Saccharomyces cerevisiae S288C: one gene and its partner. The protein of the gene in region 2 purifies or fractionates together with the protein of the main gene of each other region. This does not show direct contact. Each region holds a gene or a part of one and is shown on either strand. Other genes may lie near its edges.

Region 1 (3,756 bases), on a different chromosome or scaffold from region 2:
ACAAAAATAAGGTCAAAATACATAGTTAAAATTTTGCTTCTTGATAATGAGATGAGGTAATTACAAGAGTTCTGCTTTCCTTCCCAAACAGTTTATTTTATAGTTGGTCTCTATATCAAGTGTTGAGTAAGTAATCGAATGGAAATTACGTACTTTCAACGCAAGAGCAAGACAAAAGAAAGCCTAAAACTGTCTTTTCGTGTCGGTCGTCCAATATCATCGTAAACGTGTGTAGAGCCTTAAATTCTAATTTCTAACTTTAAATTTTTTTTGCTATTATAATACTAATTTCTAACTTTCAACCTATTTTACATCTTCGGAAAACAAAAACTATTTTTTCTTTAATTTCTTTTTTTACTTTCTATTTTTAATTTATATATTTATATTAAAAAATTTAAATTATAATTATTTTTATAGCACGTGATGAAAAGAAATATAGTCTTCAAGGTTATATTATACAGGTTTATATATTATTTTACTTATTTTTGTTGTTCTTTTTCTTGGAGTATTTAGCATTAACAACTTCGACAGGTTCCATAACGCTTCTATCCTCTAGTTTCACATAGGTACCGACTACTTTACCTCTTCCATCGCCCAAATTAATAATTGTCTTTGAGAAGTTGTTTGTATTTGCTGTGGGCAAAACATCTTTAAAAATATTGCATACTGCGGCCTTAAGTTCGTAGTGTAACGTCAATGCTTCAGTAGCTGTCGTGAATTTTATTGCCTTATAGTCATCTACAGTAGGTTCTTGCCAATCCATTTCAGGAAATTTACAATCATATAACAATAATGGTATATCATTTGCCATTTCGTAAACAGGCCTTTGAGGGGTTTTCTCAATATCAGTCAGACGCAAGACAATTTCCGGCACTTCAAGTGATTGACCAACTAAGAAAAGAATGGCCATCATGCAACGAACTTGGTGCCATAGGAATGCTGAACCAACGAGATCAAAACAATAGAAAGTTTCAGAAAGGGGAAGAATTTTTGAGCTTATTATTGTTCGTTTAAAATTGGTAATTTGTTTTGAGCCATCAAGCTTACAAAAATTCCTGAAGTCTCTCTCTCCAACAAAATATGATGCGGCTTTAGACATTTTTTCAATATTAAGGTTTTTTCCATTAAAGATGTACTTATAGTGCCGGTGAACACAGCTGAATCTTGCGTCAAAGTTAGGTGGCGGTCTGAGGCAGACAGCTGATATACGAATATCGTCGGGTAGTAATTGATTTAAAACGTGAACATAGGGTATTTCCCTGCTGTCGTTGGTCGGATCCCGCTGTTCCTCATCTGTTAAATTGGAACGGACTTCTAACGATATAACTTGGTTCATGGCGCTAACTCCCTTGTCTGTTCTGCCACATCTGCTAAATTTATAGTCTTGTAAAACCATCGAGGGAACAAGTTTACACTTATTCATGGCCTCCAAAATGGTACCCTCTACTGTAGGCAACGGTGTGTATTCCTTCTGAACAGCTAAGCCATTGTAATTCCATCCCAAATAGGCAAATCTCAAGGCGATGAACCTGGTATTATGTTTAGAAAAGTCAAACTTCTTCGGAGCCTTTTTCGCCTTGCTTCTCGTAACCTCTTCTTGCGAAATTTTGCGCTTTTTGTTATCCTCGATGTGCTGGAATTTTTCAGAATGTGGCTTATTTGCGTTTTCTAGTTCAGTGATCCTTCGTATTAGCTGCTCTTTGGACCAGTTTGCGTAAATGGAGTCCTTCTTACTAACAATAGCATTGGTACCTGTTGAAATCGCTTTCATTTTCCCAACTAGCCTTCTAATGAAATTACTCATTCAAGGGAGGTTATAGTAGGGCAGTAAAGATTGCATGTGGGCACCTCGAGAATACTATATTATTCTTTATTTTGAGCCGGCTTTTCGCTTTCAAAAATTTTTCACTGAAAAACAAAGTGAGCTTTTCAAGATGAGCTGAGCCCATTGATTTGAGGTGTAGTAAGATAATATTAAAAGCTCAGCAGCAATAAAAACAATGTCAAAGTCATTGGAATGGGATAATCTCGGGTTTTCTTTACTTCCCTGGATAAGGACAGGACTCGATGTTATGGGTTTTGAGACCATGACTCCAGTCCAAGCATCGACAATTCCCATGCTTGCTGGCAACAAGGATGTAGTAGTTGATTCTGTAACAGGCTCAGGTAAGACCGCTGCGTTTGTTATACCTGTACTAGAAAAAGTTGTAAAGGAAGAAGCGAATACATCAAAATTCAAGAAAGCACACTTCCACTCGTTAATTATTGCTCCAACAAGAGAATTGTCACGCCAAATTGAGTCTGTCGTTCTATCATTTCTGGAACATTATCCTTCCGACTTGTTCCCTATTAAATGTCAGCTCCTGGTTGGTACTAATGAAGCCACAGTTAGAGATGATGTAAGTAATTTTCTGCGGAATAGACCGCAGATTCTGATTGGAACACCTGGTAGAGTTTTGGACTTTTTACAAATGCCAGCAGTAAAGACGTCAGCATGCAGTATGGTAGTTATGGATGAAGCAGACAGATTGTTGGATATGAGTTTTATTAAGGATACCGAAAAAATTCTGAGGCTATTGCCTAAACAAAGAAGGACGGGTCTATTTTCTGCAACTATGCGTAGCGCCGGATCAGATATCTTTAAGACAGGGCTTAGAAATCCTGTCAGGATTACCGTTAACTCTAAGAACCAGGCGCCCTCCTCTTTGAAATTAAATTACTGTGTCGTAAATCCTGCCGAAAAACTACAACTTTTGGTTAGCATTTTGAATAACTACAAATTCAAGAAATGTATTGTATATTTTCCAACATGTGTGTCAGTCTCCTACTTCTACTCATTTATCCAGTATTTGGGAAAGAGGAATATTCTCGTGAATGAAGTAGAAATATTTTCCTTGCATGGAAAACTTCAAACATCGGCAAGGACAAAAACTCTAACAGCTTTTACTGATTCGCTAAGTAATTCTGTTTTATTCACAACAGATGTGGCTGCTAGAGGTATTGACATACCCGACGTTGATCTCGTCATCCAGCTTGATCCCCCTACCAATACTGATATGTTCATGCATAGATGTGGTAGAACTGGTAGAGCAAATAGAGTGGGTAAAGCAATTACGTTTCTTAATGAAGGCAGAGAAGAGGATTTTATTCCTTTCATGCAAGTTAAAAATGTGGAACTTGAAGAACTTGATTTGGAAGTAAAGGGCATAACAACAAACTTTTACGAGGACTTTAGAAATTGGATACTAGAAGATAGGGATAGATTTGATAAAGGTGTTAAAGCATATGTTGCCTTTATTAAATACTACTCAAATCATTCCGCAACTTCAATTTTTAGGCTTCAATCTTTAGATTATGTTGGTATTGCGAAATTGTATGGTCTTTTCCGCCTGCCTAGAATGCCTGAGATAACAAAGTACTTAGCCACCGAAAAACAAGAAGGGATTTTCCCAGGGAATTGGTTGGTCGATCCCCCAGTTAATATGGATGAATATAAATACAAGGACAAAAAACGTGAAAAGGAGAGACAAGAAACATTAAAAAATATAAGCCTGATTAATGATAAAAAGAAGCTGAAAAGTGAGTTGAAGAAGAAGAATTTAGCGTGGTCAGATAAAACATTGACGAAAGAACGGAAACTCGAGAGAAAGGAAAAGATGAGTTTAAAAAGGAAGGCTATAGAGGAAGAATTGAAAGCAGAAGAGCTCGATGAAAATGCTGAAGAAGAGCGTATTAAAGAGGATTGGAAAGAAATCG
Region 2 (3,756 bases):
GAATACACATACCATATCTCACGTCAAAGACATCGCAATCAAATGTTGGTGATGCCGTTGGCAACGCTGATAGTGTAGAGTTCAACAGTGAGCATGACTCACCTTCAAAGAGAGGTAAAATTACACTTGAGTCACATGAAATACAGAGGGCTCCCGCTAGCGATGATGAAGATAGGATTCAAATTAAACCCGTGAACGACGAGGATGACACGTCGGTCATGATCACTTTTAACCAATCTCTTTCGCCCTTCATCATCACTCTGACTTTTGTCGCATCCATATCCGGTTTCATGTTTGGTTACGACACTGGTTATATATCCAGTGCGCTGATCTCGATCGGCACAGATCTGGACCACAAGGTACTTACTTATGGGGAGAAGGAAATTGTCACTGCGGCTACCTCTCTGGGAGCTTTGATTACCAGTATTTTCGCCGGTACTGCAGCTGACATATTTGGTAGGAAACGTTGTTTAATGGGTTCGAATCTGATGTTTGTCATTGGCGCAATCTTACAGGTCTCCGCACACACATTCTGGCAAATGGCTGTTGGTAGACTGATCATGGGTTTCGGTGTCGGTATCGGCTCCTTGATCGCGCCACTTTTCATCAGTGAAATTGCTCCCAAAATGATCAGAGGGAGACTAACTGTCATCAATTCCTTATGGTTGACTGGTGGTCAATTAGTCGCTTACGGTTGCGGTGCTGGGTTAAACTACGTCAACAATGGTTGGAGAATTCTTGTTGGATTGTCACTAATTCCCACTGCTGTGCAATTCACATGCCTGTGCTTTTTACCTGACACTCCAAGATACTACGTTATGAAGGGCGACTTGGCAAGGGCTACTGAGGTGTTGAAGAGAAGTTACACTGACACTTCGGAGGAAATCATTGAACGTAAGGTGGAAGAACTTGTTACTTTGAATCAATCTATTCCTGGTAAGAATGTCCCTGAAAAAGTCTGGAATACCATCAAAGAATTGCACACAGTACCATCTAATCTAAGGGCTTTGATCATTGGTTGTGGTTTACAAGCAATTCAACAGTTTACCGGTTGGAATTCGTTGATGTATTTCTCTGGTACCATCTTCGAAACTGTCGGTTTCAAAAATTCTTCCGCTGTTTCAATCATCGTGTCCGGTACCAATTTTATTTTCACTTTAGTTGCCTTTTTTTCCATTGACAAAATAGGCCGTAGAACCATATTATTGATTGGATTACCAGGCATGACCATGGCTTTAGTCGTGTGCTCTATTGCTTTCCATTTTCTAGGTATTAAGTTTGATGGCGCTGTCGCTGTGGTGGTTTCCTCCGGTTTCTCCTCTTGGGGTATTGTGATCATCGTATTTATTATCGTATTTGCTGCGTTCTACGCTCTTGGTATCGGTACTGTTCCATGGCAACAATCGGAACTATTCCCCCAAAACGTGAGAGGTATTGGGACTTCATATGCAACTGCTACAAACTGGGCTGGTTCACTGGTTATTGCATCCACATTTTTGACCATGTTACAGAATATCACTCCTGCAGGTACATTTGCCTTTTTCGCGGGATTGTCGTGCTTATCAACCATTTTCTGCTACTTCTGTTATCCAGAATTATCGGGATTGGAGTTAGAAGAGGTACAAACTATTTTGAAGGACGGGTTCAACATCAAAGCCTCGAAAGCTTTGGCCAAGAAGAGAAAACAGCAAGTTGCCAGAGTTCATGAATTGAAATATGAACCAACTCAAGAGATTATAGAGGATATATAGTCCTTTCACGAGGTAAAAGGAAGGAGACGCAATTGAATATTCAAATACATAGTAGAAAATAAATAAAAATAAATTACAAGATAGAAAAAAGTTCATTGTATTTAAGTCGAACTAATTGTTGTATGCATATATAGAAGATTAACTAACCCGGCATTGAAGACCTTTTTTTTTTTTCACCTTGAGAGAAATACTGAAAATTTTTTTTGCTGGGATGAGATGAGATGCCTACCTAAAGTATTTCGAAGGTGAAAGCGTTTTATTATAGAGTACTGAAATAAAGCACAATCAGGAATAACAAATTAACTGACAATGGCACCTTTAACCAAGAAGACAAACGGAAAACGTTCTGCTAAAGAAGTTAGTCATTCAGAAAAGAAATTAGCCAAAAAACCTAGAATTTCTATTGATTCGTCTGATGAAGAATCAGAACTATCCAAAAAGGAAGATGCTGTATCCTCTTCATCAGATGATGATGATTTGGATGATTTAAGTACCAGTGACTCTGAAGCAGAAGAAGAAGCTGACGAATTAGATATTTCCGATGACAGTGAGGAACATGAAAATGAGAATGAAGAGAAAGAAGGAAAGGACAAATCTGAAGGAGGTGAAAATGGAAATCACACTGAACAAAGAAAACTGCTAAAAGAAAGGAAAATGCAAAGAAAATCTGGTACCCAAGTGCAACAAATTAAATCCGTCTGGGAAAGATTGCGTGTGAAGACCCCACCTTTACCAAAACAGATTCGTGAAAAACTTTCCAACGAAATCTGGGAGCTATCTAAGGACTGTATCAGTGATCTTGTCTTAAAGCATGATGCTTCCCGTATTGTTCAAACTTTAGTCAAGTATTCGTCCAAAGATCGTCGTGAACAAATTGTCGATGCTTTAAAGGGAAAATTTTATGTTCTAGCCACATCTGCGTACGGTAAGTATCTATTGGTTAAGTTACTGCATTATGGTTCAAGAAGTTCAAGGCAAACTATAATAAATGAATTACACGGTTCTTTGAGAAAATTAATGAGACATCGTGAGGGTGCCTACGTTGTTGAAGATTTATTTGTTCTTTATGCCACACATGAACAAAGACAACAAATGATTAAAGAGTTTTGGGGCTCTGAATATGCTGTATTTAGAGAAACCCACAAAGATTTGACCATTGAGAAAGTTTGTGAAAGTAGCATTGAAAAAAGGAATATTATCGCCAGAAACTTGATTGGTACCATTACCGCATCAGTAGAAAAGGGTTCCACCGGCTTTCAAATTCTACATGCTGCTATGAGAGAATATGTGAAAATAGCCAACGAAAAGGAAATATCTGAAATGATCGAATTGCTTCATGAACAATTCGCTGAATTGGTGCATACTCCAGAAGGTTCAGACGTTGCTTGTACTTTGGTTGCTAGAGCTAACGCCAAGGAAAGAAAGTTAATTTTAAAGGCTTTGAAAAACCACGCCGAAAAATTGATCAAAAATGAGTACGGTAATATTGTCTTCATTACAATTCTGAACTGTGTTGACGATACAGTTTTAGTATTCAAGACTTTCAGTCCTACTGTTAAGGAACATTTGCAAGAATTCATAATTGATAAGTTTGGTAGAAGGCCTTGGTTATACATACTATTAGGTTTGGACGGTAAGTATTTCTCACCTATCGTCAAGAATGAATTATTGAGATACATTGAACTGTCCAAAGCCACCTCTAAGAAGGATCCTTTACAAAGAAGGCACGAACTTTTGTCAAAATTCGCCCCCATGTTTTTAAGCACTATATCAAAAGATTATTCCAGTATATTGACAGAGAATCTAGGCTGTCAGTTCATTGCCGAAGTTCTAATAAACGATGAGTTGTACGCGCAGCTGAATGAAAAAGACCAAGAAAAGTATCAACAGGTCTTAAACAACATTTTAACTACTTTTAAGGGTGACATAACCGAAGAAGAGCACCCAATACATAGAGCATTTTCTACTAGACTATTAAAGGCACTAATTCAAGGTGGTAAATGGA

Evidence for each region. Proteins that work in one complex are often made in the same cells at the same time.
Region 1: the proteins of PUF6 (region 2) and SPB4 purify together in Saccharomyces cerevisiae (affinity purification with mass spectrometry; 5 studies listed by BioGRID, with this or other methods). This does not show direct contact.

Annotation. Positions count from the first base shown.
Region 1 is NC_001138.5:145,179-148,934, reverse strand, and holds the start of SPB4 (ATP-dependent RNA helicase SPB4), read left to right. Parts: upstream 1-2,000; coding exon 2,001-3,756. Other genes in the region: pseudouridine synthase DEG1, read right to left, coding at 476-1,804. UniProt on the Saccharomyces cerevisiae protein: ATP-binding RNA helicase involved in the biogenesis of 60S ribosomal subunits. Binds 90S pre-ribosomal particles and dissociates from pre-60S ribosomal particles after processing of 27SB pre-rRNA.
Region 2 is NC_001136.10:1,441,708-1,445,463, reverse strand, and holds the start of PUF6 (Puf6p), read left to right. Parts: upstream 1-2,060; coding exon 2,061-3,756. Other genes in the region: myo-inositol transporter ITR1, read left to right, coding at 1-1,751. UniProt on the Saccharomyces cerevisiae protein: RNA-binding protein involved in post-transcriptional regulation. Component of the ASH1 mRNP which transports the ASH1 mRNA to the distal tip of the bud, where the ASH1 protein is translated and targeted to the daughter cell nucleus.